Linked DNA regions of Struthio camelus. The protein of the gene in region 1 interacts with the protein of each later gene in a pairwise test. Links are inferred from orthologs where the notes say so. Each region holds a gene or a part of one and is shown on either strand. Other genes may lie near its edges. The genes, in order: ATPAF2, FSBP, SPG21 and LRRFIP2.

The links.
Region 2: the proteins of ATPAF2 (region 1) and FSBP interact in binary tests that used the Homo sapiens proteins (3 or more experiments, as listed by UniProt). The two-hybrid records come from large-scale screens. The link is inferred for Struthio camelus from reciprocal best matches to the Homo sapiens genes ATPAF2 and FSBP.
Region 3: the proteins of ATPAF2 (region 1) and SPG21 interact in binary tests that used the Homo sapiens proteins (3 or more experiments, as listed by UniProt). The two-hybrid records come from large-scale screens. The link is inferred for Struthio camelus from reciprocal best matches to the Homo sapiens genes ATPAF2 and SPG21.
Region 4: the proteins of ATPAF2 (region 1) and LRRFIP2 interact in binary tests that used the Homo sapiens proteins (3 or more experiments, as listed by UniProt). The two-hybrid records come from large-scale screens. The link is inferred for Struthio camelus from reciprocal best matches to the Homo sapiens genes ATPAF2 and LRRFIP2.

What each region holds. Positions count from the first base shown.
Region 1 is NC_090956.1:3,742,157-3,749,226, reverse strand, and holds the start of ATPAF2 (ATP synthase mitochondrial F1 complex assembly factor 2), read right to left. Parts: upstream 3,021-7,070; 5' UTR 2,905-3,020; coding exon 2,778-2,904; exon of another isoform or gene 1,580-2,777; coding exon of another isoform or gene 1,540-1,579; exon of another isoform or gene 464-1,539; coding exon 419-463; intron 188-418; exon of another isoform or gene 163-187; coding exon of another isoform or gene 141-162; coding exon 1-140. Other genes in the region: GID4 (glucose-induced degradation protein 4 homolog), read left to right, coding at 3,401-3,625, 5,964-6,023, 7,001-7,070. UniProt on the Homo sapiens protein: Plays a role in the assembly of the F1 component of the mitochondrial ATP synthase (ATPase).
Region 2 is NC_090943.1:149,104,707-149,111,681, reverse strand, and holds the start of FSBP (fibrinogen silencer-binding protein), read right to left. Parts: upstream 3,021-6,975; 5' UTR 2,362-3,020; coding exon 1,991-2,361; intron 1-1,990. UniProt on the Homo sapiens protein: Transcriptional repressor that down-regulates the expression of the fibrinogen gamma chain. Represses transcription of GSK3B gene promoter via its interaction with APBA1.
Region 3 is NC_090953.1:4,122,594-4,130,130, reverse strand, and holds the start of SPG21 (maspardin), read right to left. Parts: upstream 3,017-7,537; 5' UTR 1,438-3,016; intron 722-1,437; exon of another isoform or gene 541-721; intron 1-540. Other genes in the region: CLPX (ATP-dependent Clp protease ATP-binding subunit clpX-like, mitochondrial), read left to right, coding at 3,397-3,466. UniProt on the Homo sapiens protein: May play a role as a negative regulatory factor in CD4-dependent T-cell activation.
Region 4 is NC_090943.1:54,265,131-54,272,616, reverse strand, and holds the start of LRRFIP2 (leucine-rich repeat flightless-interacting protein 2), read left to right. Parts: upstream 1-4,465; 5' UTR 4,466-4,603; intron 4,604-7,486. UniProt on the Homo sapiens protein: May function as activator of the canonical Wnt signaling pathway, in association with DVL3, upstream of CTNNB1/beta-catenin.

The DNA.
Region 1 (7,070 bases):
CATAGTGTAGAACTTGATGGTGTCCTTCTGGGAGTCCCACTCTGTTGCCACTGCAATAGCCAAGGCCTCGCTGGGAACAGTGAAGAGCTTCGCCTGGGGCGTTTTCAGCTTCCGGTGGTCCAGGTTTATTTCAAAGCCTCCTGGAGAATCAGAGTAGAAATCCTGGGGAATTAAAGAGGAGCATGCCCTAAGGAACAACAGACAACCCCACAGAGGGAGCAGATTCAGAGCTGGAATCCAGCCACATGGTTTAGCTAGAAATGAGGAAAGGACAAAGCAGGCTGGTGACAAATATCCCACTCATATGACACGGGTTGCAGGTGTGCCACTGTCTTGCTAAGGAAGCAGTGATAACCCCCTCCCCAGGGACCAACACCTCCTCCCAGTCCTTCCTTCCTCTCCCAGTGGCCACGCTTACCTTCTCCTTGCGAGATGCTAACGTTCTGGTAAAACCGCTTCCTTTCTGGGGGCAAAAACAAGAGCCATTCAAAGGGCAGTCAGAGCAAAGTTCAGTCCCCTCCCCTGATTCCCACTACAGCTTAAAACAGATGGAGCCCTCGGTGGTGTCGAGGCCCAGATGGCCTGGCCTCTTGTCACAAGGTCTCGCTCGTTCATCCACACCCTGAGCCTGGGGGCCTGCAGGGAGCCTCTCGCCAGAAGAGGACCAGGCAACCCCCTAGCCACTGCCTGTGCCCAGGCAAAAGAGCCTCTCCCCAGTCTAGTTCTGCACATGGTGGGGGGAGGGGGGGAGAAGTCCTGGCCTCAAGAGTTTTGTTGGGGGAAGGAGGGAGGGAGAAAAATATGGCACTGCCATAGACTGCACTCTGAAGTGTTTTTTGCAGACAGCTTCCAAGCACCACATCATTTCAGTGAGCTCCTCTCCACTGGGGAAGCATCATGAAACCGGTGGGAGTGTTGCTGTGCACAACCAGCAAGTGAATGGGCCCAGCTTTTCTTTGCTTCTGCCACCCAGGGCTGGGATCTCAGCTCCATTCCAACTCACCCTCAGCAGGTTTCTACAGAGTCTGGCAGGGGAGGTTTCTAAAGCGGACCTATCTTGTCATTCCTCCCCAGTCCATATGGAGTTTCACTCTGGGCTCAGTCTTTCAAAATTCCCTGATTACAATCATGTTTGACAAATTAATTTCCTGGACTGCCTTGGCTAACTCCCTCTCCCAGCTTGTTCCAATTCAGAGTGACAAGAAACCCAGCAGAACTGAATCACAAGGCAGGGCAGGCCCCAGCAGTGTCCCTTGCCACCCCTGCCAACTCCAAACCCACACAGTTCCAGCCCACGCAATCTCCTGCAGTGAATTTAGCTCATTCTCTGCTTTGACCCGCCACCTGCAGCTGATGCACCACATGGAGGGATGCGGCTGTCTGCATCAGCAAAAACTACAGCTCCCAGCACGCTCAGAGAGCATGGGGCAAGATACTGCACCCCACCGGGGGTTTTGGCACAGCTCCCTCTACCACGGTCACCCACAGGAGTGGGTTTGTTACAGGAGCTACATGCAATCAGCAGTCCCCATCTCTCACCTTGGATGACATCCTGCAGGAGAGTAGCCTGCAATGTCATAGCAGCTGGATCATGCTGGGGACATCATGCACATTGCAGCATACAAATGAGTCACCAGGGGAGGAACCACTCCCTCGGCTCCCTCCAGCCTACGCATCCCACGCTGGCAGCTCCTGCTCTGCTCAGGAGAAAGCCTGCTCTACCAGCAAGGTGAATCTGAGGGAATTACAACTGTTTTACAAGCAGCCTCCTTTCGTAGCAATACTGTTGCGTACACTCCCAGCAGACATCTGAGAGCCTGGACTGCATGGGAATGGATGTTTCACAGGTTCATCTCTCACTCAAAGCAGGAAGAATCTGCAAACCATTCCCCGGACAAGAGCAACAGGACCATAAATCCTGAATCCCTAAATCTATACCTCCTGAACAGTAATGCAAACAGGTTGAGCTGCAGGTCTGTTTTCTGTGCCACTCCATACGAGCACGTTCCCACACCTCTACAGAGCACCAGTGAAACAGAAGAGGATCTGCTCAGGCTGACCCAACTCTAGTTTCATGGCCTCAAAAAATGCCAAATTATTAGGGCACAGTTTTGAAAAGATTCACATACACGTACCGAAGAGAAGACATTTCACTGAGATGCCAAAGAGCCCCAGGATATATGTCCTGAAAACCTGCAGCCTCCTCTCATAGGCAACAAAACTAATGTTACCGTCCTCATATCTACACCTTTCCAGCAAGACCTGCAGAGGTGACTCACAGCCCAATGTGTGCCTGAACCACACCTGGAGTGCTCCCCCCCCCCCCCCAACAAAGTCTTAACACCCACCAAAACCACAATAGCAACCATAACAAACCAATACACCAAGGGCTTAGCCCTGCTGTCAGTGACAGCCCTGCTGAAGCCAGGGCATAGGAGCAGGGGGAGGCCCGGCGTGTGGGGCCCTGTCACCTCAGCACCTAAAAAGGCTTAAGGAGCCCCAGACCCGGCGAGGGGTGTGCTTGAACGCTCGTTAGCCTCCTCGCGGAGAGTTTTATCGCTTTCCATCTGTTTGACTCGTCCTGCTGGCGAGGGCTCCGGGGTGACCTTGAGGGAAGTCGCCCTCCAGGGCCCGGGGAGGGGGGGGGAAGGGGGTCCCATCGGGAGGACCCCCTCCCCCCCGCAGCGGAGGAGGGAACGGGCTCTCCCAAACAGAGGGGCCCGCCAGACCCCCCAAGAGGGAGCCCCGAAGCCCCCGAGGGGCCCGTCCGCCCTCACCTGCCGGCGGGGCGTAGGCCCGGCCCCCGCCCGGCCCCACCGCAGCCCCACCGGCGGCAGGAGGCGGGCCGGGGCGCCGGGCCGGCGAGCAGCGCCCGGGCAGCAGCCGCCGGCAGCCGCGCCACATCGCGGCGAGAGGAGGCGGGAGGCACTCAACGGCCGTGCGGCGCTCGCCGGGAACCGCGGAGCAGTCGCCGCCGCTGTCGCCACCGTCCGCCTCAGCGCGGCTCCGCGGGCGCCGCCATGCTGCCCGCCGCGGGAGCCAATCCGCACCGCGAACGCGTTTTGCCCCTTCGGCCGCCCCGTCCTGCGGGGAGACGGCGGAGGGAGGGAGGAAAACTACACTTCCCAGGAGCGCCCGCGGCCGCGCCTGCTGGGAGAGGGGCACGTGCCCCGCGCCGGCGGCCAATAGCGGCTCGGCGCCGCCCCTCCCGCAGCACCCGCGAGGGCCAATGGGAGCGCGCGGAGGCGCTGCCGGGAGGCCCTGAGCCAGGCAGGAGCGGCGGCCTCGGCGGCGGCGGCGCAGCGTGAGGGGCGGGCGGGAGGAGGGGGGGGGGCGACCGGGCCGGCGCCCCCGGCCGCGCGCAGCCCCGGCCACGCTGGCGCCCGGGGACCCGCCCGAGATGCCGGTGCGGAGCGAGCGGTGCCGCGCGGGCGGGGCAGCGGCGGCGGCGGCGGGTTCGGCCTCGTCGCCGTCGTCCGGGGCGGCCGCCAGCAGCCTGGTGCCGCCGCCCCCCATCAACACGGCGCAGCCCGGCGTGGCCACCTCGCTGCTCTACAGCGGCGCCAAGTTCCGCGGGCAGCAGCGCAGCAAGGGTAACGCCTACGAGGTGGAGGTGGTCATGCAGGTGAGGGGCCGGCCGGCCTCCCTTCCCCTGCCCCGGGCCTGGCCGGGCCTGCGAGCGGCCCCCAACCGCCGGGGGACCCCGTCCCTCCGGCCCGGGGCCGCCTCCCTGCTCCCTTCCCCCTCGGGCCCCGGCGAGGGGCCGCTACCCTCAGGCCTGGCCTCCTGCTTTGCCCCGTTGCGCTCAGCTCGGGCTCCCCTCGCCTCCCCCCTTTTGTCCCATTACCCTCAGGCCTGTTTCTCCTCTCTCCCCCCCTCTTTGGCCCTGTTACCCTCAGGCCTGTTTCTTCCCCCCCTCCCCCTTTTTGCCCTGTTACCCTCAGGGCCTGTTTCTTCTCCCTCCCCCTCTTTGGCCCTGTTACCCTCAGGGCCTGTTTCTTCTCCCCTCCCCCTCTTTGGCCCTGTTACCCTCAGGCCTGTTTCTTCCCCCCCTCCCCCTTTTTGCCCTGTTACCCTCAGGCCTGTTTCTTCTGCTCCACCTCCCACCACTGTGGCCTCATTTTCCTTGGGTCTGTTCGCTTCACTCCCTTGCCCTATTGCCCTCAGCTCTGCTGAGGTCTGTGATCCTGGATGTCTCCCCCATTGCCCTCAAGCCCTGGGCTGGCCCTGCTCCCCTGGGCCCCAGGGAGGATAGGCAAAAGGCTGGCTTAAAGTGGGTGGTGTCCCAAGGAGTCAATACCAGCGAGGCAGCCTGTATTTCAGGCCTGGCTGGAAAGCAGTAGGGATCCAGGTCCTGGCTAGCAGAGCAGGGCTCTGCTGGACCTGAGATCCCAAGGATCCCTCCTTGTGGTGCCCTATGCTTCCCCAGGATCCCAGGCTGAGCAGGGAGCCTGAGGCAAAGCACAGTGGTTTGTTTCTAGTGGGAACGTGCCTGGACCCAGGTGTGCTGGGGAATCAGGGCACTGGCTGGTATAGCTTTCCCTTTCCTTTTTGCGGTCTTGGTCTCCTCCTGTGCTTTAATTTTAGTCCTAGACATTGGTATGATTGCTTAAGGTAGAGCTGGCGAGGTGTGGGGTTACTAATAAATAGGCAAGCCAGACATATGGTGCACGCTTTCCTATAAAGTGCTCTGCAGGTCACGGCTTTGTTCCCAACTTGGTGGCATAGGATCTGTGGGACCCTGGCAGCTTGTAACAAGTGCAGTGATAAAGACTGATGCATGGGTCAGTGTTGTGGAGTAACGTGAGAGTCCCAAGGTCAACAGATGGGGTAGCATTTTATCCATACTGTCTCTTTTCACATATGGTCCCCCGCTTGTCAACAGCACAAGTGTCCCTGGTGCAGCTTGCTCTTGTAGAGACATCCCATGGCTGATCAGCTTCACTGCACGCTGCCTTGTTCCAGAGACTGGCTATAGCTTTGTGCTAAAATTGCTACTGTTTTGCGCGTGTCAGCTGAGAAGAGGTGGCTATCTGCTCTTCCCCTGCTGAGTACAGGAAAATGTTGCTTCTCTTTGATCACAGGTGGGGAAGATCCATCTTCTTATAGCTGATGTATACACTTCCCAAAATAGCTCAGTTCTTGCTTTGAAAACTCATCTGGAGATGTTGGGGGGGAAAAACTTGGAAAGTCTTCTTACTTTAAAGGCATTCAGAATAGAAGCAGCCCCCTACCTAGTTTCTGCATAGCAGAAGAGGCAAGATGCAGCCAAGTAACTCAAAGAAGGGTGACATGAAAGCGTTAGATCTGGGAGAAGGGCCTCTTCAAAACACACGAGACATCTGTTTTGAACAGGCTTTGGTGTGTGACGGGGCACACCAGTCCTGGGTACTAGGCTGAGCGTACAGACTAGCGTGTTAGAGAGGAGGTGGCTCAGGCCTGTTAAATAGGTGGACTGGAAAGTTCAGGGTGATGCTTTCTTCCTCTAGCCTGAATTGTCTTGGGTAAAAATATGCTTTTTGCCCTTCCCCCTCTTGGTTGCTGGTTTGGCTGGGGTAGGTGAGGGCTGGGTGTGTTAGAGATTCTGCCAGTGATACTCTCTCCCTTTGAGAAAACTGGGAGTCAAGTTCCTTCTTGGTAGAGAAGGGGGATTTACTCCCTCTGGAGACCTCCAGACAGAAGATGCTGCCTCAGTTTGAAGAAGCTGAAAGTGGGTGAGGTGTCGTCAGGCCTGGGACGTGGAGGCTGTCAGAAGTGAGCTGGGCACTTCTAAAAGGATCTGTCCAAGTTGTTTCCAGCCTTGGGAAAGGGGATGTCAGTGTGAACATTGTGCAGTAAGCTGGACAGTCAGTACCAGTTTAAGCAGAATTGAGTGTTGGAGGACCACAGGTTTAGAAACTGTTTTGGATCCATTGGGTGCCTTCATGCACATGCTTATGTTAGGACTTTGCACTCTCTTCTAGCATGTGGATATGGAAAACTCCTATCTCTGTGGATACTTGAAGATTAAAGGCCTTACAGAGGTGAGTGTTTATTGCAAAACCATAAGAAAAGGTGTTGTTTAAAGGCTTTCCTTTTTCCTGGTAGGGGGAGAAGTTGCCACCAGAAATAGAGGATGGAGGGATCAAGTATACGGTAAATTTGACCACTAGGTAGTCTAATAGCTTCAATCTGTTGTTCTTGGAGTGTAAAGCTAGTATCAGGGGCCTCGCTGGGAGTCCTGAGAGAATGCAGGAGGCTTATCTGGTGTCTCTTGAGCTCTGAGTGGAACAGGAATCTGACCTTGAAGTCAGCTTTAGATACTCTACCAGTGGTGGTGTGTTGCTAAAAGAAAATAAAACAAACAAGTCAGATCTTTAAGTCCTTCCTTCCATGCCCATCCACTAAGATCTCCTTATGGTGTTGGACATTGTGAGCATTATCTTATGCGGGTTCTCATACTGACTGTCTTTCCAAGTCCAGACTCTCTCAGCTGCAGTGCACTATGTGTCTGCACAGACAGTTACCGGTAAGTGCTTGGAGAAGTTAGCTTCCCTCAACTGAGCCTGGTATTCCTGTGTGCAAACCCCTAATTCATTGCAAATGCAAAGCTAAAGAGCTTACTCGGGGCACCTTCTCTTCCTCTTTGAGGTGGCTTAATCTAGCCTTTGTACTTTGTGTTTGTAGCAAACACACGGCTAGCTGTCATGTTTCAGCTCAGGAGCAGTGCTACCTCCAAATGGTCACTTCTGATCGTCCAGACGAGTTTCCCAGCTGTCCAGCTCTAACATGGCTCCCTCTAATTTTATGAAGTGAAGGGGGTGGGGGGCGTGTGAAAAGACGACTGGAGTAAAAGGGTGGAGGGTGTGCGTGTACGAGTCAGATTTTAAAAGGTGTACCAGCCTCAGATTGCCTCAAGGTCTTGCTGCGAGATGCTGATTTTTTGCTCAGTCTGTGCACCTTTATCTGTGTGAGTTTAGGTGACATCTTAACTCTCTCTTCTGTCTCTCCACTTTCCTAGGAGTACCCAACCCTCACCACTTTCTTTGAAGGGGAAATAATCAGTAAAAAGCACCCTTTCCTAACGCGCA
Region 2 (6,975 bases), on another chromosome or scaffold:
TAGACAGGGAGAGAAAGAAGGAATTGAGAAACAAAAGAAACTCCTGTATGGTGGTTACAAATGTTGTTTCTGACAGCTTGACTGAAAGACAGACAAACAACAGTTACCACAATTGGGGGATGGTATTTATAACCCCAGAGACACCCATGATTCACTAGGTTTCATTTAATCACAGTAAGCCAGAAATCACTTAAAGGTGCGATGAAGAATTTGGATTCATAAGTCGTACTTCCCTCCAAAAACCTAAGCCATGCTTTAGTGAGTTAAAGTCTAATATACTGCTCAAAATCAGGGGAAAATGTAACTCAGAGTTAAGATTAAAACTATAAAAGTAATGATATATTTGGGCAGAAAACAAAATATTTAAATGATATTCCATTTCTTCAGCACATACTGTATTGGTTGATCCTAGGAAAAAACACTTTGGGTGAGCAGTAATCAAGTCAATGCTCCTAGAGCCACAACGGACTGCAAAAAATGTTTAAATTATAGGAGACAAACTATGGAGATCATTAGCTCTCAACCATTCATAAAAAGCGTCACTGCTTTTCATGAGCCTATCTACAAACCTAAGTTCTCATACAACTTTTTTTTTTTCCCCCCTCCTCTTCCCTCTTCCTTACAAAAAAGTTGGTAGCCAAGACACTGCAACCTTTATTAGCGCAATTAAAAGCCCTGTTTTGTTCCAGAGTCTCCTTTGGAGCTGCTCCTCCAAGGGCATTCACCAGCAGCACAGCCCAGTTGCCTCAGCCTTCTTTACGCCAGGACCCACAACAGCATATTTTTAGAGCATCTGGCACATTGGGATTTAGACAATTGTTAGCATTCAGTTCAACCAGTGGCACCATGAATCAAATTCATCCTGCATGCGCATGCCAGCTTCTCTTAAGAGTGCTTAGCTGTTGCACCAGCTATCAGTATATCTGATTAAAATACGGCAAGTTCACTTCCATTAATCTGCTAGTGAAAATAATAAAAAAATCAGAGCTTTCTCAAGATTGCTGTGAGGTGGTTTGAATTTCCCTCCCTCCTCCCCATCTTAGTTTTTGCATCTGGTGGAACCAAAACCTGACCCAGGCATTTTTTGATCCCTCCAGGACCCATACAGAACCAGCAGAGTGTTGCAAGTCAGAGCTGAGGGGCATTAGCCAGCTGTGTGAGAAAGCCTGCATGCTGCCTGCTTGTATTATGTCTGGCTCAAATCTAGACAGTGTGTCTCACTTTACTGAGCAGTTAAAAAAAAAAAAAAACCTACAAAAAAAAGGAAACTTCTGCTGCTGTACCTCTCAGTTTCTCTCTTTATTTAAGCTATCTAATACACAATACAGAAGTACTTGGAGTTTAGACTGCAATTAGCTTTGCTCCAGTTTCAGAGAATGACCGTCAGTGCAAGAAAAGTATAATTTAAAAATACATTTGCACTCACAAAGACACTGTGGTGTAGGGATTCAATTTTTTCTTTAAGGATTAGGATCAGTTAAAATATAATATGCAAACATCACAGTAAATGAGATAAAAAAGGTATAGGAACAAGGCTTCTTAATTCTATGAACTAACTTTATTAAACATCTTATATAAACTAGTAATTGTTCCATATGCTGCAAAATGACTGCAGTATTACCTTAAATGGAGGAGAATAGCCACCACTTTGCCAGTGTTTGAATAATCTGCCTATTAAAAGGTAGGGGAGGGGTAGAGCTACTATTTCTCTTTGATTCCCTCTTAACCCTCACTTTCCAGAGTATGACAAAGACTCTGAAACAGGCTTTGAACCAGAGCTGAAAAATGAATGCAGTGCTAAGTCACCATAAAGCTTACCATAAAAACAAAAGAAATACTATTTTGTCATTGCTCCCAATTTTGGGGTGTTCTCTTGTAAGCCTTTTCTTTAGGACACTGAACACAAGTTAAGAAAAGCCTTACAGAGTAGGTAGGAGGCGCCATAATTTTCATTCAGCAAAAAAAAAAAAAAAAAAAAAAATTATCTCACCTTTGTGAAATGCTCCTTTCTCTTAAACACACATTGGAAATCTGTGGAATCATCTCCACAACTTTCTTGGTTGGCTCGGAAATGCTGCTTTTATAGTCTGAATAAGTCTCCTTTTGCTGCAATAGCTCCTGTTTGGCATATTCTTTGAGCCTCTTGTACAGCGTGCGCAGGCCCTGTGCAGTGCGAGGAGGGCGATCTACTCCGATGGCATTGTAGTTATCAGCTATGATATCCCAGCATTTGTTTTTTTCCACTATTACGGAATGCTTATTGGTATGCTCTTCAAGAATTTGAACATACGGCTTCACGAGTTTTAGCAAATCAAGCTTTTCAGATAAGGTAAAATTAGAAGATCTGGCCTTCCCAACCATTGTTATCTTTGAATTAAGGAAGCAGTTCCTGAAGCCACCATGCAGTCCCTAGCTCTGCTCAGCTCTTTTTCACAAACAGAAAAAGATCAGGCTTAACTAGGCTAGTCTCATTTAGGCCCACGCCTACAAGGGAGGGTTTATTAAAATTCCTTCAGCTTAAGCTGACGCAGGTTCAGGAAATCTGCTTAAGCCAAGCCTGACCTACATAAGGCTTCAGACTGAAGACGACGAGAAGAAACAAGCAAAATACACTTTTGTATGAAGAGCCCAGACATACATAGGATTTAAAAACATAAAGGTTTAAAGATTAGCACATTACCCAGCTAAAAATTACCTAATTTAGCTTGAGTAACAAGCTCTGACACATATCTCCAGCTCCCTCACACATATCTCGAACCGAAACTGCACTCGGGATTCTGCCTGTACCGATGGCCAAAAACTGCCACAATTGTTTGGGGAAAACGTGTAGACTCCTAACCGAGCAGGAGGAGGAAGGAAAAACTACAGGGCGATAAGCATGGCGTGCGTAGAGAGATCCCTAACAGAGCCCCTGGTCGCGGCTCCCTCGCTGCTGCTCGCTTACAGCATTTGCATAATGCTGGTCCTGCTGTCAATCAGGCAGCGCATATCCTCTAGCTAGTTAGGTTACACTCGGGCTCGGGCTTCGCAGCAAAGCTAAGCTTCTCCTCCATTTCGCAGCCTGCTCCCGCTACCTACACAGAGGCTTCTTAAAGAGGCAGCTTCTACTCACGGCCAAGCGTTTGGCTAAAGCAAAAAAAAAAAAAAAAAAAAAAAAAAAAGCAAACAAAAACCCCCCAAACACCACAGCACGAGCACTGAATCAGCTTTTTATTGTAACTTCAGCCTGCAGCTGTGCCCTGCTATAACACGCCTGCCTTTTAATGCATGTGTCATCGCCAGTCAGGCCGCAGTGACTGAGAAATGGCATGAGCTAACTCTCGGGCTACATGTAATAAAGGTTACATTCAGTCATGACAGATTTATGGAGTGCATTATAGTGTGTGGATACTGGGATTTTCATAATATCCACCAGGAAACAATCTACTTTTATGATAACACTTCCAGGCATTCCTTCCAGATAAAATCTGATTTTTAGTAACAAGATGTGCACGCTATGTTCATGCATTTCTAATGTTTGCTCAAAAATACATCACCTTAAGCCGAGTTTTAACACAGAAAGGCATACAAGGCTTTAAATACCCGTGGTCTAAACTAAATCAACAAATCTCAGAAACAGAAGAACTTGCAGAGATAAGAAAAGGTGCTCACAAATACACAAAGCAAAAACTAAGTCTGAAAAATTATGTACATCATTGAAAGAGTCCAGAGGGTGCAAACAAACACAATTTGAGATAGTGGCGATGGCTTCTCAAGCTTAACATGTTCAGCCTTGAAACCAAGGGAGCCTGGGGCGGGGGTGGGGGGGGAGGAGGGGGGGAGGGGTCACACAAAAGAGAAATCTAATTATAGTTTGAAATATCTTAAGGCAATAAAGATCTAGGTATGAACTTGTTTGCTCAAAGGGGAACAAACCCAAAGCAGACACAAGTCATATTCAAACCAAGAAATTCAACTAAACAAAGGGAGACTTTAACTGCTAAAGTCAATTCCCATTTAGAATACCAGCATGCTTTAAACAATTTCTGAAACTTGGCTTGTCCATACCACCTAACAAAATTTGCCCAGTCTGCTTTGCTGGAATTGCTTTCAAGTCGAGATTAAATAAAGCATGTTATAGTCTGAAGTCCATTTCAATAGAACTGAAGAAACAAAATACTCATGTGGTGTGACAGCACGCTTCTCCCCTCCACCGCCCATGTGCTGTTCTCCCCCCTCAGCCTAAACATCACCTCCTCATAAACAGCACCTGGACAGGGGCTAACTGAGCACCATTTAGAATGCAAATATGACAATGAGTCAATCATCTTACCCCCATAGAGAGGGGGTGGTCCAGAGCCCATTGAGCTCTCCTGCGTGGCAGTGGGCTGCACTGCAGAACCTCCTCTTGAGCAGGGACGCCTCTCAAGGTTACTCCTTGAGGTCCAGAGATTCCTTACCAGCAATAGATCCTCTGTAAGTGACACTGATAGCATGCTAAAACTTTGAAACTTTGTTAAGTTACCTCTCTGATTGATTGTACACACAAACCTTAAGCACAAAGCTTAGACTAAGTCTTGGTCTCCCTGACATCTACTTGGCAAATTTTGCTGTGTATATAATCCTTAGATATAAACCGTTGACCAAGTCTGGGACTAGGATTGGATCCATCTGGAGGGTCCATTCTGAACCTCATGACTCAACGGGAAGGCCTCCTTGCCGCTTGCTTTGCGGACCTTGCTAAGTCGTATCTCTGATTGCCCATGCACATAAACCTTAGATATAAACTGCTGACCAAGTCTGGGACTAGGACTGGATCCCTTGGGTCCATTCTGAACCTCACGACTCAACGGGAGGGTCTCCTTGACACTGTCGCCTGACCCTGTCCTCCACGCAGTAAATAACTTTAGTGAACCTTGCCATTTGACCCTTGTTAAGTCGCTATCTTATTCACAATTGTACTCTGTTAAATCAATAAAACATTGTTGCTTCTCTGTACCAAGTGAAGTGCCTCACTCCCCACTCCATCCACGACATGTGGTTAGAAGCACTTTATGAAAACCACTGCATTTAATCACCCTGCCCTCCCTTTATCCCCACACACTTCTCTCTTTACTAACATTAAGGGTAGAATAGGCTTTTTTTTTTTCCTAACAATCATTTTAAAAATTGACGCGTTCTTCAGCAGCTGCAACAGAAAATTAGAATATGCCTCACATTTTAACCTGTTGGCAGTATCAGAACTAAGGAGTCACAAAAAAGTTTACACTGCACCCTCTGATGTTTAAGCAGTTGTGCAGTACCCAATCTCTTGACATTTTAGTGATGGAAAAAAAGTTAATCTCAAGCTGTGTGAGGAAAGGCTCCTCTGCGCAACCACAAAGCAGCACCGCCAAACAGGCGGTGACAGGCTGGGAACCTCACCAACCCCAACCAAAGGAGCAGAGGCCCCTGCCCCAGCTGCTGCCTGGGCTGTCGCAGAAACACCATAGGCCCCATGGACTGGGATGAAGCCCAGCAAGAGGAGTCACTGGGAGAAGCTCTCCGGATCACCTTATACAGCCTGATGGACGTACGTCCATCAGGACGTACGTCCAGAGACCAGAGGGGTCTGACAGTTGGCTACTGTAGGGACCAGGACATCCAAGCCAGTTACTAGAGAGACTGTGAGGCCTGGAGGTTGCCTGCTGGTAAGGTCATAAGTCTGGACCAGTTACCAGAAAGACCCATTACAGGTTTGTATCTGTGCGTGAGGCAACCAGGAGACCAGGGGATCCAGGGGCCAGCTACTGTGTAGAATAAGTGTCTAACAGCAGTTGCTGGAGGAATCCATAGCATATATATAATTTTCCACAAACAGGCTTTCATCCTGATCAGCCATAGAGAGGAAAGGATGAGGCCCTGGTGCTGTTTGTGTTTGCGGGAGTGCTGTGGTTTCTGTGTTAGTCTATTGGGCCAGCCATGTGTATATGTATATATGTATCGTGCGTATGTGTGCCTATTGGGAACATATTCTCATCCTTGCTGCAGGCTGGACCTGGCAACATGGAACTGTAGCCACGTTGTCTCTATTGGGCTACCAGGTGCAGGAACTCCTAATATACACCTACCTGAAGTTGTGTTATTTTATCACCTTACTGCTTAATGTTGCTAGAGAGACCAAGTTTCCACACTAATGCAATTTTAGCAATATGCCACTACAATGATTTGTTCTGAGCAAGTGCCTGAAGGAATCAGAGTTTGAATTACTATTGTTCCGCAGGAGTGTAAAATAACCCTCGTAAAAATGAAGCTGGCTGCCAACCAAGATTTTTTCTTTTTGCTCTTAAAAATCACTGCTCATCAGCCTAAGGTCATGTCAGTACTTGGATGAGAAATCACAGAAGGTGAAAAGCCTGGATTTTAATGAACATTTAAGACTTCTTTCAGCCAAAACAATAGGTGTAATTCCAAGAAAACTACAAAACAAAACCCACAAACCAAAACTGTTGCCACAGTCCCTCCTATACCTTCCACCAACACACTGCCAAACCAGGCAGTCCTCTCCTACCACCCTTCTCTGACACGTTCCTGCTCCCTTCACCGTGCTGATATTAGCACTTTAAAAGCTTCCGAGCAAGTCAGACCAGGGAACTGATTTGTCTGCAAATTAATCGTTTTTCTAAGCCGGGTGAGTTTTAAGCAGCATCAGTCCCCCGATCCAGTATGCCACAGGACAAAGAACCAGCACAAAAGAAATACATATAGCATCCAAAGAAGCTTTTTCAATCTGGATGATTTTAGGGATATGTTTTATAATACAGCCCTACATACACTTACACTTGTACTGACATCACCGAGGGAACAGCAACCCATAGCTGATGGGGAGGAAATTCTCATCACTGCTGAAGAAAATACTTGTACCTACACTCTTACACATCACTTCATTTTGCCTTCTATACCTCCTGCTTCAGTCCTATGAACAAGGCACAGCTCATTTTTCTTTCATACCTTCAG
Region 3 (7,537 bases), on another chromosome or scaffold:
CCTCCTGGAGCCCCTCCAGCCCCTCAGGAACCCCCCCCAGAGCCCCCCTCGACCCAACAGCCCACCCCAGAGCCCCCCTCAGAGACCCCCCCCTAAGCCCGACAGCCCACTCGGATCCCCCCTCAGCCCCCCAGGGACCCGCCCCTCAGCCCCTTGGGGAGCCCCCCTCAGCCCCACTCCCCCCCCCCAAGAGTCCCCCTCAGCCCCTTGGGGAGCCCCCCTCAGCCCCACTCCCCCCCCCCAAGAGTCCCCCTCAGCCCCTTGGGGAGCCCCTCTCAGCCCCACTCCCCCCCCCAAGAGTCCCCCACAGCCCCTTAGGGACCCCCCTCAGCCCCTTCCCGGAGCCCCTCTCAGCACCTTAGGGACCCCCCCCCTCAGCCCCACACCCCCCCCGAGCCCCTCTCAGCCCTTCGAGCCCCCCTCAGCCCCACACTCCCCCCCCCAGAGCTCCCTCAGCCCCCCCGACACCACCTCGAGCCCCCCCCGGTCCCTCACAGCCCACTCAGCCCCGAGCAGGGAGGCTCCGAAGAGAGGGACAGCCTGGCTCCCGCGACGACGAGCCCCCACCTTCACGGCCCGCTGCGCCCTTACCGGCTCCGCGGGACCCCCGGTACCGGCGGGGAGGGGGGGGGGGGGTGCCGGGGCCTGGCTCTCCCGCTCCGCCTCCCCCGGCGCACCCCAGCGGCGGCGCCCGCCGCTACTTCCGGGTGCGGCGTCACGCGCCACGTGACGGCGGGGAGGCGCAAGGGCGGGGCGGAAGACGGCCAGCTGCCATAGCTGCCGAGGCGGAAGAAGCGGGCCGAGGCGCCATTGTTATCGAGGCAGAAGGGAGGGTCACGTGATCCCTCCTGCGGGGGGCCGGTGGGGGAAGCCGCCATGGCCGTCGAGGGAGCCGCCGCGTCCGCTCCCCCGCCCCGGCCCCGCCGTTGTGCCGCTCCGCCCTGCTTGGCAGAGGGCTACGTGCCAAGGGTTGCTGCCATCCAGTGGAGGCGATTTAATTTAATTTGACTTATTTTTTTAAATATATGTGAGAAATCCCATTGATTTAAGTAAAAGTACCAGTGAGTGAAAAGGTCTGTTTTCAACTCAGGGTCTTACTTTAACCGAGCCTGTTTTACCCAGCTCCCTGGTGCGGTTGTTAACGGGGTGCTCGTTCCTCCAATGCAAAACCCGGACCTTTGGGTCGGCTGGGCCCGTTCAAACAAAACGTGTTTTGGAACAGCTAAATTCAAGGTTATGGCCGAGACGGGGCCGTGACCCTCGGTGAGCCCTCGGGGCCCTGGCGGGGAGCAACCCCGTGGAGGCAGCTGCGGCTGAAGCCAGGGCGACCCTGGGTGAAAAAAAGATTTTTTTTGTTGTTTTTTTTTTTTTTAGGTAAAAGGGGGAAAACGTCCAGGGGACCAGCTCTCACGCCTGCCGTGGGAGGGGGCGCTTTACCTTCGGCGTTGCCGTTTGGCCAAAAGACGTCGGGTTCAAATAATCGGTGGAAGGGAGTTGCGTGCGGTTGCGTCAGGTGGCGCGACCGCGCTGCCTGCCGCTCGCGGCAAAGAGGCTCCTGCAGCTAAAGCTGAGGAAATCGTCAGTTCGACTCCTGTTTCATCAGCAGCGTTTTACCGGTTTGTTTTCAGCACGCCGTTCCCGTTTGAGAGGAAGCTCCGGGGCTGACTGAGATAACCAGCCTGCTGCTGTCGGCCACCCGAACGCACGAGGCAGCCGGTGACAAACCTTGGTTCACAGCAGCACGCAAACCCCTGTCCAAGACGACGCTGTTGCTCTCTCCAGGCTTTCGTAATTTGTGATTGCAGGATAAATAACTTTTATCGATGCCTTTCAGTACGTCCTTCCAATCTGCTATTCCTCTCTGATTCTCTCCAAAAAAAAAAAAAAAGTTCCCGAAAGGAATCGGTGGTGGATTGAATACAGATTAAAGTGGGGTTGGCGGTTGCCTGGCAGTAGGTGGTGCTGGCTGCAGGTGGTGCTGTTAAACCTGTACTTCGCAAGGATTAAAATCCATCCAGACCTTGGCAGAAATGAAAAATGGCATTCGATATTCATACTGTTACACGCAGGCAAGCAGTACAGAGTGTAATCTCCGCTGTTAGCGTGGTCTAATGGCGTTCGCTGTGCGGCAGCTCAGGTTTGTAGGCGAGACCATCAGGTAATGCATTCTCATCTCTGAGCTGTTACTCAGAAAGGCAGCTGGGATCAATGAGCTGCACTTGATCAGTGTGTGGCAGATGAAAGCTGAAGGAGGGCGGAAAGACAGAAACACCCACAGGTCCCTGCCAGCGGCAGGCGCGTTGTCTAAAGGATGCGTTTTCGTTGCTTGGCTTCTACGCGTTTTTGTGATCGCTGATCTGACTGGAGATCACCCCAGGACAGGAGGCTTCGTTTTCATCTTTCTGCCAAAGTTGTTCTAATTTGCCTCGTGTTTTCCGTTGCTGTTTCAAGTTTGCTGCTTGTGAAAGGCTGTTTTTATTATTTTGGAGGTCGATGGGAAGTGTTTCCCGCATACTACCTTGTGTTTAAAATCTGGAAGCAGATAATAAATGTTTCACGTTTGAGAAGTTCCCCTCCTCCCAGCAGACGCGTGTTCAGTCCCCGCCGGGCGGGTTTTCACCGGGCTTTGCGTCTCCCAAATCCTGCCTCGGGAGTTGCACGTGCGGAGGAGTCGGCCTTCGCTTTGAACGTTTCCCTGGAGCAACGCAGGGCGAGAGCTGCGCAGCGAGTGCGGGGGCTTGCTGAGGTCTCCGATTAATTTTTGTTCTCCTGATGAGCCGTACCGGTCTACGAGCGCTTTAGGAATTAAGGATAACGCGGCCTGGAGCGTGGCCTTTATGTCCTCCTACGGGGGAGTCCGAGGCTATACAGATATGGGAATAACGCTGCGTAGAAACGAACGCACGTCACAGCTGCTGGGAAGAAAATCTGGAATTTTGGAGTTAGAGGCAGGAATCTCCTGACGTTTGTGTGCGGGAGGCGAGGCCGCCGCCGCGCCCCGCGGCCGCACGCCTGGACTACACTTCCCGTGATGCACTTTGCCGGCGCATGCTCAGAGCTCCCTGACCCGCGGGACTGCATCTCCCAGGAGGCAGCGCGCGGCGGCTGGGGCGGTGGCGGGCGAGGCGCCGCGCGCGCTGCCTGCTGGGAGCGGTAGTCGGCGAAGGGATGGGAGGGGCGCGGTGAAGCCAGCCCGGCCCTGGCGTCAGTGTAGGCGGTGCCGGGCGGTGGAGGAGGAGGGCAGGGGAGGGGGTGTTTACGGCGGGGGCGCGCGCGCGCGCGCAGTGCCGCCGCCGCTACCGAGGCCTAGTCGGCGGCGCCAGGCGCGGTGCGGGGGGGGGCGGGGGGGGGAGCGGGCCGGGCCGGGCCCGTTGCCGCCGCCGCCGCCGCCGCGCCATGTCCGCCTGCCACAGCTGCGCCGCGGCCGCGCGCCTCCTGGGCTCCACGCTGCCCTCCGCGCGCAGAGGTAACCGCCCTCCGCGCGGGCCTGGCGGCCGTTGGGCCGGGGGAGGGGGAGGAGGGGGGGTGTCGCCTTCCCGCCGCCTCCCTGAGGGGAGGCCGCGTCGCTGTCACCGCCGCGGGGCCTGCGGCCGCCGCTCCCCCCAGCGCCGGGCCGGGCCGCCGTGAGGGCCCCCGCCGCCCTCCCCTCCTGCTTGCGTTTGTTTTATTTTCCCAGCCGCGGGTGGCGAAGGTGGGGGTCCCGCGGCTTGGACGCCTTTACCCCGCTGGCGTTCGCCGGGGTGGCGAAAAGAGGGTTTCGCGGAAAGGGGGCGATTTGCAGCGCTGATTGCGCAATGCTGCTTGTGCCTTTAAATGCGCTTTATTAACCGACTGGTACAAATCCTGTGCTTCTTGCAGCTTGGGGTGTTCCTCGTGAGGGCTCGTGCTCAGCTAGCGAAACATAACTGTTTTCCGAGTTATTAAGAAAGTGGCGCGGGGCAAAATAGTTACTGGAGGCTGCAGTGGAGGGGGAATGTTACTTTTTCTTGGTTTTGCGTCTTTTCGGGATGTTCTTGTCCGTCTTAAGTGCGAGATACTCTATGCTGCTTTGACTGAAAGGCAAACAGTCCTCAGACTGTGCTGAAAATCTCTGCTGCTGCCACATTTCCAGCATTTCTTTTTTTTTTTTTGAAAAATGATACTCTCAGCCATAGCTGAATGAGTCAGAGAAGACTCTTTAACTTCGTGAGGTAAGTTAACTCATTGCAGTTGTGTTCGCAGCCACATCTCCAGCATGACCCGTGCTGACAGGGTTAAGCCAGTACTTCCAACTCCAGCCTGCCTGGCCTCGTGCAAACCCACTGAAACAATAAACTTTAAAACAGATAACGTTCTGGATTTGCTTCAGAATTGTTATTTTTATAAAGATAACAATCAATATTTTTCTTTTGTCAAAACTGGCACGTAAAAGGGCAAATGAGACTAAAACGCAGGTATAGAATAGTAAAATTATTTATGCATCAACTTTCTATGAAAGTTTTTTAAAATCTTATTTTGGTGGTTGTCACTGTATCTGCTGTGCCAGGTAGTTAAGTTTGGTATTACTCTGAGGTTGACTGTAGTTAGTACAAACTTGAGAGTATGCAGGGTGTATGGATTGGCCTACTAGATAGGGTGTTTTCTGGGACAGAGATGAGACTTTTGTTGTCAGTCTCCCTGTGAGTACCTTAGGTGGTAGGCTCTTTAAAAATATTTGAGGACTTGACCCAAAAGTTGGTATTTCTTATGGTATTCATCTGTGAACTAAAAAATAATAAAGTGTAAAGGAGTCTCCAACTATTTCATAACCTGCTCCTCTGAACACCCCAGAGAGGTGCTGTTGCTGCTGTCAATATTCATATGTTTGGTGCTCGCTCTTTAGATTTACTGTTTTCATTTGTTTGTGTTTGGGAAAAATTTGCTTTCCATTAAAAAATAAAACAAAAAAAGACCTAACCGTCAGTGGTATATCTGAGAGTATTGCTGTGCCAGCCAGTTGTTACATGTTTGAATGTTTATCAGAGTATCTGTGGAAATCGCTAGGCGTTGGACTGGAATGTTGATTGTTTTTGACAATTTGTTTCTATGCTTGTTTGTGTTTATGGAAGTAAGTAGTTGTGATAACTTTATTCCTATTTCATTATTTAATTGTACAGTGACGTTTTGTCAAAAATATCATTCAGACCTGTAGATGGGCTAAACATGGAAAGTCTTGTCCCTGTGCGTCAAGCTGATAGGAAAAAAATTATGTTACTGTTATGTTTAGCCTATTTACAGCCTTCACAATTCAGTGTGACTGGCAAGGTAAGTTTAACATTATACCCTAATGGCCGACCAACTAAGACCATCGTGAGAGAAAGAGGAGCATGTGTTTTTTAAAGAAAGTTATCATGCTCAAATTGTTCTTTCAACAGTAGGCTCCTACCAGGCTCGCAGTGGGTGTAATGGTGCTGATTGGGCAACATCTGCTGCTAACACCGAAGCTGCAGTCCCACAGCTGCGATGTCTCTGGTCGTAGATTGGCATAGCAGGAAATGTGGCACGTATCAGCTCAGCGCTTGACACTTTGTGTATTGCTTCATAGTTTATTCAGTATAGTTTAATGTGTCTTTTCTGTGTCACAATGGCACTCTGATTTAAAACTGATGATCTTTAGTCCTTTTGCGGTGTTTGGTGGTAAAATGTTTGACCAGTCTCTGCATTGGTATTTGGGCCTTTCTCCCTAGGCAGTTCTCTGGGGTGAGAAGCTATTGCAGGAGAGTTGTATGCAGCTAGGTTTTTTGGTCGTCGAGGGAGGAGGGGGTCTTTTGGTTTTGTGTGTGTTTTGGAGGGGTTTCTTGTTTTGTTTTATTAATAGCTGTTAGGTGATAAACGCTCAGCCCAGTTTATTCTCTACTGAAAGGTACACTTAGCACTCTTGATTTTCAGAGTTCTCTGTGCATATTCAGTCAAAAGGACACAACTGACTTAAACTCTCTTCTGTTGCTGTAACTAATCCCTATTCTGCTTGTGAAAGTGAACCAATATTTTTCTATTTAACTGAGGGTATTTAGCAATTTGTATATATTTTCATAGTTTTGTCCCGTGGAGCGTGAGGTGTTTTTCTGTGTTGCAGTGACACGCAGCAGATCTTTAGTCCTCCTTCAGTGTTTTACAGACATAAATAACGCTATTATAATTTTAATAAATTGTATTTTTAGTGCTAAGAATATCTTAAAATCACCTTTAATTTCAAATATCTTAGGTAGCATATATTTTGATAAAACAAATTTCATTTGATTCAGTGTTCTTGGTTGTAAGTTTGTGGAGGTCTACAGAAGTTTTCCCTGTAAAATTAGGCTGGCCCTTAATGCTTTTTTTCCCTATATTTTTCTATTCTTGCATTATAGTAATATAATACAGTATAATTAAGAGGAACTTTAAGTCTCCCTCTTTTCTTTAAGATTCCAAGTCTTAATTGTAATTCAAAAGAGTTTCAGTTAAGTTATTAAAAAATTTTTTTTATTATTTTTACAAATGTTTTACAGAGCATTGGCTTAGCTCTTTGGAGAATTGTCTGCTTAGCCTTCAGATTATTTGGATAACAAAGTTGCATATACGTTTTATTAATGTAGGGTTATGATAAAAAACATTAATTTGAAAATATGTTAAAATTGATGGTGCTTAATAAATGATGAATTGAGTTAAATCAATGTTATGAGGAGTTAGTTCTGGTCATTTTATAGCTTTCTCAGAGCAAATGGACTGTACTTCATTTTCCATTCATATAGATTGCATTTTATTTTAGAAAACATTTTCATCTTCTGTTAACAAAAAAAAAAAGAGAGAATTTTTTTTTTTTTAATAGAGTAGAAAACGTGAATTAGGGTTAAGGTTATGATGTTGCTATATAGCTTTTCCCATTGATAACAGTCACAGAATTATTACCAGATATGTAGAGGAATTGCCTAGTTTAAGCAGAAGAGAAATTTAAGATCTGGATTCCAGATGTTTATTTCTTTGTGTTGAAAGATTCTGAAATCATGGGCATGAAAATGATAAAGGTTGGTTTGTGTCATGCCTAGTCATGAAATATAACCTTACAAGTTGTTGCAAAAGGAGGAAAGGATCATTCAGTTCCCCAATGAATTTTTTTCATGTTGGAGTTAAGCTATTTCAACAAAATTAAGATTGTATTAAATTAATCTGTCTGTCTATAAAAGGTCAGCATATGCCAAATGAAAAATCCAAATCTGCATATGTGGTCCACGGTCTCCGAGACACTTCTATGAAAATGTTTGTATAATGAGGAGACACTTTGAAAGTCTGTCTTTTTTACTTTTCAAATATGTGCTAGAGGCTATTGTGTTCTGAGGACCAGCTTCATGAATGGGATGTGGTTTGTTTGTGATGCAATGGAACTCTGAACTGCCTGAAGTTAGAAGACAAGGGATACTTCTGGGTCATTTGTAGATTATCCAAGCAATTGTTAATGTGGTAAACATTAAGGTGATTACATGCACTTATTTTTGAATAACTGAAATTTGATTATTCAAAGTTGAATTCTGTTGCTGAAACC
Region 4 (7,486 bases), on another chromosome or scaffold:
AGGGTAAATGAGGTAAAAGGAAAGGCTGAATGAAACTCACTCCTTATGCAGTTAGTTACCTAGCTCTTCCAGAAACCATCTAGTTACATTAGCCTGGACAAGAACAGCTGTGAAATTTGCATATCCCCCACAACATACACCCGTGAGTTTAGGATGCATGTTTTTTCCTCTATTTGATAAATATGTTTTATATATGCAAAAACCTTACAAAGGAAGCCTGATAATAGTCCTTCAGAACTCCAATGAGTTCTACCAAAGATTGAAATAAGAAAGACTTTCATGGTTATGCTCAGCATACAGTCCATATGCATTCTGCCTTACAACTATTTCAAATATTCTCTTGAAGAATAAAATTGTTTCCCATCAGCTCATCCAAGTTATCCAACCTTTTGCCTCTCACTTTGAATATAACTGAAAATCAGCACTACTTTGAATAGTGCCAAGTGCTTCAATAGAGCTGGTACTGAATTTTTAAAAGTACTTTTGTCAGTGCCACAGAATTACCGATTCTTTTGCGACATCTATTAATGAAATGAATATATTTTCCAGTAGCTAAAAATATATTTTACTAGTCTAGTAACCGGATTATAAACTGGCTGGTATCTGTTAAATTTAACTCATGGTAGAAATTGTCTGATTGTTATGTTACCCCAGACCTTAAGAAGAGAAGCTTGGATCCTAACAATTTCTGAGTTTAAAAAAAGGTCCATATAAGATCACATGCAATAGGTCACTGCATAAAGGGAAGGCAGTGCACGTTCTCCTCTTTTTTTTTTTTAATCATATAAATGCTGAGACTGAAAAACATTTATTTAACATGTTAGTGGCTGTGCATCTGATGAAAGGAGCATACGTTTATGAGAAATTAAACAGTATTTGTTTTGTTTTGAAGAGCCTAAAAGGGCTTGGCAGAAGCCTCCTGTAAGTATACCCAATAACTGATTTGAAAAATTAAAAAAATAAAAGTAATTGCTCTCTGCCTTACAAAAAGTTGTTGCCCTTTGTTACAGTGCAGCCCACAAAGTTAATTTTCCACTTGTCATAGTGGAGGGTTTTAACATCCTTTTTGTGGGGTGCAGGGAACAAGCAGTTACTAACAGTGCTGGGAATCTCCTAAAGAGATCTGCTGCTGATGGAAAAAAGTGTGTGTTCAGCAGTTCCAACACTTGAGTGATGGTATCTTTACTGAGAAGATGGAAAACTACAGGAAAGGAAAGAGACAAAATGGGGAAGGAGAGAAATAAGTGCACTGAGGTAGGGAGAACTTCTTAAAATGATACATTAATCCAATCTCTCTCGATCAGTGAACCAATCTACCAGTTAAGCAAGCAGTTGGAAGCTATTCTCTGCATAAGAAGGACAAAGAGAAAGTGAGACAGGATTAGGAAGGACACAAAAGGGAAAATACATGGAATCGCATCAGGGATTAAATTAGATTATAATCCTACATGTGTACCATCACAATTGAATTCTTAGCCAGAAGCTATAATTCCATAAACAAGTAAGTAAAGCTTCACGGGAAGGTAAGAAACACCAACAAGAGGGACAAAAATAAGATATTCAAAACTTCACAAATAGTAAACATAACTCGGGAAATTTTTTAGTGAATTCTCTCTTATCAAAGTTATTTCAGTGGGAAAATCTCTTTTAAACTGTATACAAATTATTGCAGCAAGCTGACACCAGTAACTGTTATAATATTTCAAACAACTGAACTACAGATTCATCTTGGATACGCTTTTTTCAGTGATCATCACTCTAAGCAGAATTAAGATTTCACCCACTGTATGCCTCAACTGAGCAAAACAGTTTTAGAGGTGGCCTTCTAGAGAAAAGGGAGAGAGTAAATCAGCAGGTTAAATTGTGAAGATGAATTTACACTAGCCTACCGTATAATATGACAAGAGTGAAGAGAAAATATATTCAAAGGCAGTTCCAGTAGTACTTCATTTACTTTGCAGTAGTTTCAATAAGAATTTGGTCAAGGAAGAGTCATAAATCATTCTTTATATTGTAACTGCAGCCATTTCACAGCAAAAGTTCAAATGTAAATCTCATTTGCTGGCTTCTAATTAAAAGTCTATAATGAAAATTTATTTAACTTGACTGTTTAACTACTCTCATTAATGATGCTGAACTGTGAATTGCTACTGTGACATCTTGTACCACTGCCTGTGGTAACTGCACTGTGTATACACTGTACTGTGCACTGCTTTTCAGAAAAGTAAACAATTGCTCTTTCAAGCCACAAAAATGCATGTCTGCTCTCAAGGAGACATGCTTTTTGCTGCATCATTAAAGAAAAATGTGCTGCCTGTGATATCAGAAGACCAAACGTATGCAAATCCCAACGCTTCATCAGAGAAAAATGTACAAACAATTGAAAATGTTTTTCCCCTTTATTTAGCAATATATTGACAGAGAATCATCCCACACGAACCTGGGAGATCCCACATTTCAGAGGATTCGACACAAACCCTTCACACCAATATCATAAGCTCTCAAGAGGGAACGAAATATTTCTGCTACCAGCTAAAACAAACCAGAATGGCCTGAGACAAGAAGACTTTCTGCATAAACCCCAGCAGATCAGGAGGCGAGTCTTTCTGTAAGAACAAGCCTCAAATAAAAATGCAGTTCTTAAGACCGTACTTTGTTCTTGTCTTTACTGCTAATGTTCCAAGAGAACCTTTTGTGTCTGCAACTTTTTGCTGCAATGAGATCATCATCTATTACTGCAAAAATTAATGTGATGTTAAAATAAGCATGGTGTGGCTATGCTGCATGATCAAGTGAACAAGAAGGCTGAGGCAGTATGGAGTTTCTCAAACAGAAAGTTTTAAAATATTAAAGTCACGGAAGGTGTTTCATGTCTACTGTAAGAGATTTAATTCACTTGCACGTCCTTCTTTGCTTTAGGCTCATCCACTTGCACTTATTTTAGTAAAACAAGATCCGACCTCTGCCAAGGGCTCTTGGGAATATTCTTGATTCCTATGGCTAGGTCTGTCATTTCGGTCGTGCTTTTTCACTTCCATGTGGTTTCTAACATGTGAAATGCCATTTCCTCACTGATCACCTCCAGCTAAGCTCTTCTAGTCACCCTGCACCCAGGAATAGACATGTTGAAAAGTAAATGACTACAGATCTGATCCAAAGTCTGTTACAGCAGATTCTCATGAATGTTAATTAGCTCTTTGTGTTTAAGCTGGAATATATTTTATGGTATAGTTTTTCTCTTTTCCTAAGAGATTATCTTAAGAAAATGTGTTATCTTATCCTCAGGAACTTCTTTGTTGATATATAGAATTTAGTAGCACAGAAAGCCAGTAGTGTTTGGGATGTTATAAGATAAGGTGTAAACGCTTATATGGGATTTCTTCCCATAAATCCTGCCTGGCACCCATCCACGTAAGGCTTCTGACAGCCTCGCGCCGAGCGCCACATAGAAAGAGTGGCAGCAGGGCACCAAACTTCCCGGGCGGTGAAACCCCCGGGGCCGTTGTCGGGGCCCCAGCCGGGGGTGACTCTTGCTGTTCGCCTGTCAGTTTTGCGGAGGGACTTGAGGCTTCTCAGGATCTCCGCGTATTGCTCCCTGGGGAACGTCCCTTGGTACAACAAACCAGAGTTAATTTTAGAAACAAATCAAAAGGGAGGGGGGAAGCCAAAAGCGCCGCCGCGGACCTACCTCTCCCTGCCCCAGCAGTGACTCAGCCGGTCTGCCCGCTGATAAGGAGCCGGGCTGACAGGCGCCCAGGGGCGCGGCTCGGCTCGGCACCTGCCACAAGCCCCTTTGCGGGAAATCCCCGTGCTGCCTGAGCTAAAGAGGCTCCTCAGGGCACCGACACCCCCCCCCCCGGCCTCGCCGCGCAGCCCCAGCCCAACGGCAGCCTCCCCCCCCCCCCCCCGCCGGTGCCGCCACCACCCCACAACGGCCGCCGCCCGCCCGTTCCTGCGCATGCGCACGCGCCTGCCTGCCCGCCCGCCGTGCCGCCCCTTCCTGCCGGCCTGCGAACGCTGCGCTTGCGCAGTGCGCCCCGCCCACCTATGTAAGGGGGCTCGGGGCGTGGGGGGGGGGGCGAATGCACGCGTGCCGGGTGGCCTCGGCGGCGAGGGTCACGCGCCCCTCCCGTAACGGCCGCCTCGCGCCCTCTCCCCGGGGGAACCTTGCGAGCAGTTTGAAATTAACCGCTGTTTCCTACCGCGTTCGCGATGTGGCTGTAACCGCCCGGCATTGAAGGGGAGGAGGCAAGAGAGCGGGGCGGGGAGAGAAGGGCGGCCTGGAGCGGGGCGGCTCGTCTTTGCCCAAAGCCCAGGTTCCTGCCGTTCTCTCACAGGGGGAGGCGGGAGGGTGAAATAAGAAAGCGGCCGCTTTGCCAAGGCCCGCGGACGGTCCGTGCCCGGCAGCACCCCTGCTCGCCCTCGGGCTGCTCCTGCTTTCGTCCCTTGGATCTCGGGTGTAGGGAGTGAGGATAGGAAGGACCCCGAGGCGGTTGCGGGACCCACGAGCCCCTCGACACCCGAGGATAGGGGGTGGAGAGGAGAGCGAAGCAACCGCCCCTCCCTATTAGGCGTTCCGGTGCTGCAGCAGGCTGGCCCTCAGGTAAGGCTCCTTGGGGCCCGCGCACGAAGAGGGAGGGGGCGGGGGGGGGAAGGGTGTCACATGCGTACAAACCCGGACGGGGCGGGGAAGCTGGGTGGGAACCTGGTCCTTCGGGTTTGAGAAGTGGGGAGGACACGGCTCTTCAGCCGGGACTCCCTTGCCAGGTAGGTGAAGAGAAAGGGAAAGAATAAAGGCAGCAGCTTCACGCTCTCTGGCCAGTGTCAAGACTTGGTGTGGATGTAGCGGGGAAAGGCACGGCCGACCGACCGACCGACCCCTTCCGGCGTGCGGTTCCCACACTCCGGGCTCGATCCGTTTTCCCTGCTCCGCAGGCCTGCGGGAAGGTGTCATTGACACACATACACACACGCCCTTCCCGACTGTGTGTGCTCACCTCGAGGTTGAGTGGAAAAGGCAGAATGAGGGAGAGGGAGAGAAAGGAAAGTGTCCCAAAATCACGGCTGCTCGTGTTTCAGTGCCCTTTCTCTTTCATGCCTCCTCAAAGCATATTACCGCTTCTTCAGTGTTTCCGAAAGTGGCAGGGCGTACTCCCTCAGCCAAGGGTTATGGGAAGGTTCAGGCAGGCTTTCTGCTTCTTTTTTAGCTGGGCTTTTTTGGTTTCAAATCACACTTACTCTGTGTGTGTGTGTGTTTTTTTTTTTTTTTCTTAATATGCTCTGCTGTTATAATTGCAAAGAAAATATTGTGATATTATCTGATCTCAAAAGAGATCAGTGCCTTCCTGAGTTTGGAAGAAGCCTGAAAACATAGCTCTGGGCTGTGATCTGCCTCATACATTTGAGGGTTGCCAGTTTAGATCCTAAGATGATACTTTCACCAATAACAAAAACGTGTTACAATGAATCTGTATAACCTATTCAGCGACTCCCTCATTCTGGAGAGACCTCTAACTATCTTAGGCTTGAAATGAGGAAGAAGGTGTATGATCAATTTTATTGCTTCAAAGTGACAATTTTATCTTCCAACATCTTTGGAGATCTTGTGGCCTTTTTTTTTTTTTTTTTTTTTGTAGTTTTCCTGTAAGATCAAATCAATGCTTGTCTTGTGAGTTCTTTAAACTTTCATTGCGTCTTTGCTGGCAACTATTTAAATATATGACCTTTGGGGCCCAGAAATAGATAGCTTTTTAATACATGCCTGCTTCCCTAGTTAATGTAATTGCTTAGTGATGATGTGAGACTAGACGGAAGGTGCTCTAGCAATATGAAATACTATTTGACAGACATGACATGCTGTACCTAATGTTTGTGTTACTTGGGCTTAGAAATGTTTACCTTAGAGTGTGAAGTCAGTTTTACCTGAACTGAGCTGTCTCTACCTGAGAACTTGTGAATATAGGAAAGTTTTGTGAAATGTGTGAGGTGTAAGTTTGTTGCCCTTAAATGTCAGTAACTTTTATGAAATGACTCCAAGGGAAAGAGCTCATTTGCATTGCAACTCTTATTACACAGATGACAGTATTTTAACATATGCAAATTTTAGAAAGCACAGTTTAAATTGGAATCCAAGTCATAGGGCTTTGTGTATGACATGTTACACTTTTATATAGAAAACAAACCAGACTTTCATATAGTTAGTGTGAAAATTGTAGCGCCAATATATCAAATGGAAAAAAAAAAAAAAAACCTCTAGAATAGTGTAACATATATATACCTCCAATAGATAATGCTAGCAGAGAATGAGAAACCAGTACCTAAGAGGTTTGATACTGACTATGTTGTTGGCTGTATTTGTAAAATCCTGGTGTGAAGTGGTGTGGTGATACTTACAGGGCTGTACAGTTCAGTAGTATGTGCTAGTGAGAGAGAGCTTTCTGAGAAAATAATCAGGTTTATTATCTTGACTTATCTGGATACTAAGTAACGTGTAATTGTACACAATGGACAGATGGTTTGTTTATGTACTCTTACATATCCTACAAAGTTTTTAATGTATCGTGCAAAATGTTTTATGTAAATATTACTGTGTGGTTTTGAAGGTGATAAAATTCATTATTATTATTTTTATTGTGTAGTCATGTATCATTAGAGCTACTGCAAAAGGAGAGGTGAAGGAGCACCACCCATAGAGGCCAAATGGGAACAAATATTTCTAAGCCTACTGGCTGCTATCTCAGTAGAGAGTTAGAGTTATGTCAGTTGATGAAGCAGCAGCAGGTGGAAAAAGCTCTAAGGGATACCCAGGCAAAATTGCCCTGCTTGATGCTGTAGTGTTTCTTCACTGTACTGAACTGTAGCAATAGTAAAAAAAAAAGGGTGTAGGCGTTTTCTAAATAGGAAATTGTTAATGGAAAAATATCTTAAATAGTTGCAACTTGTTACTGAATGTGGGCTGTTACCATGGGGCTCTTTGTTTGTTTAATTCATTAAAAAAACAGAGCCTCAATATAGTAGCAGTATGTTTTTTTTAATGAGTAATAGATCTTTCTTTTGCAAAATGACACAAGGATACTCATTTTGAAAAAGCTGACAGTGTAAAAATGCTGTCTGCTTCATTTTAGAATAAACACTTAAACAGGATTCTTCTGACTTTGTTTTTTATTATGCATTCCCACCACTGGTGCTGATTATTAATGTTGCCATTTCCTCATATTTTAAAATCACAGTTGATTTCTTAGTCTGTTTCTGGAACTTCAGCACTACAGGAGCACTGATTACAGAAACGTCCAGCTGTGCTATACCACTTCTCTGAAACCTACATATGCTTCACGTTGTGCCCTGAGCTATCCTTTGTGAATGGCCATTATGAGAGCTTTACAGATATTTCTCATCTCTGGTGATTATATCCTGTACCTAACACTTTATCATAATGTGAAGTAATAGTATCTGCAAGTGCAGCTGTTGGCAACTGACTGACAAAGAA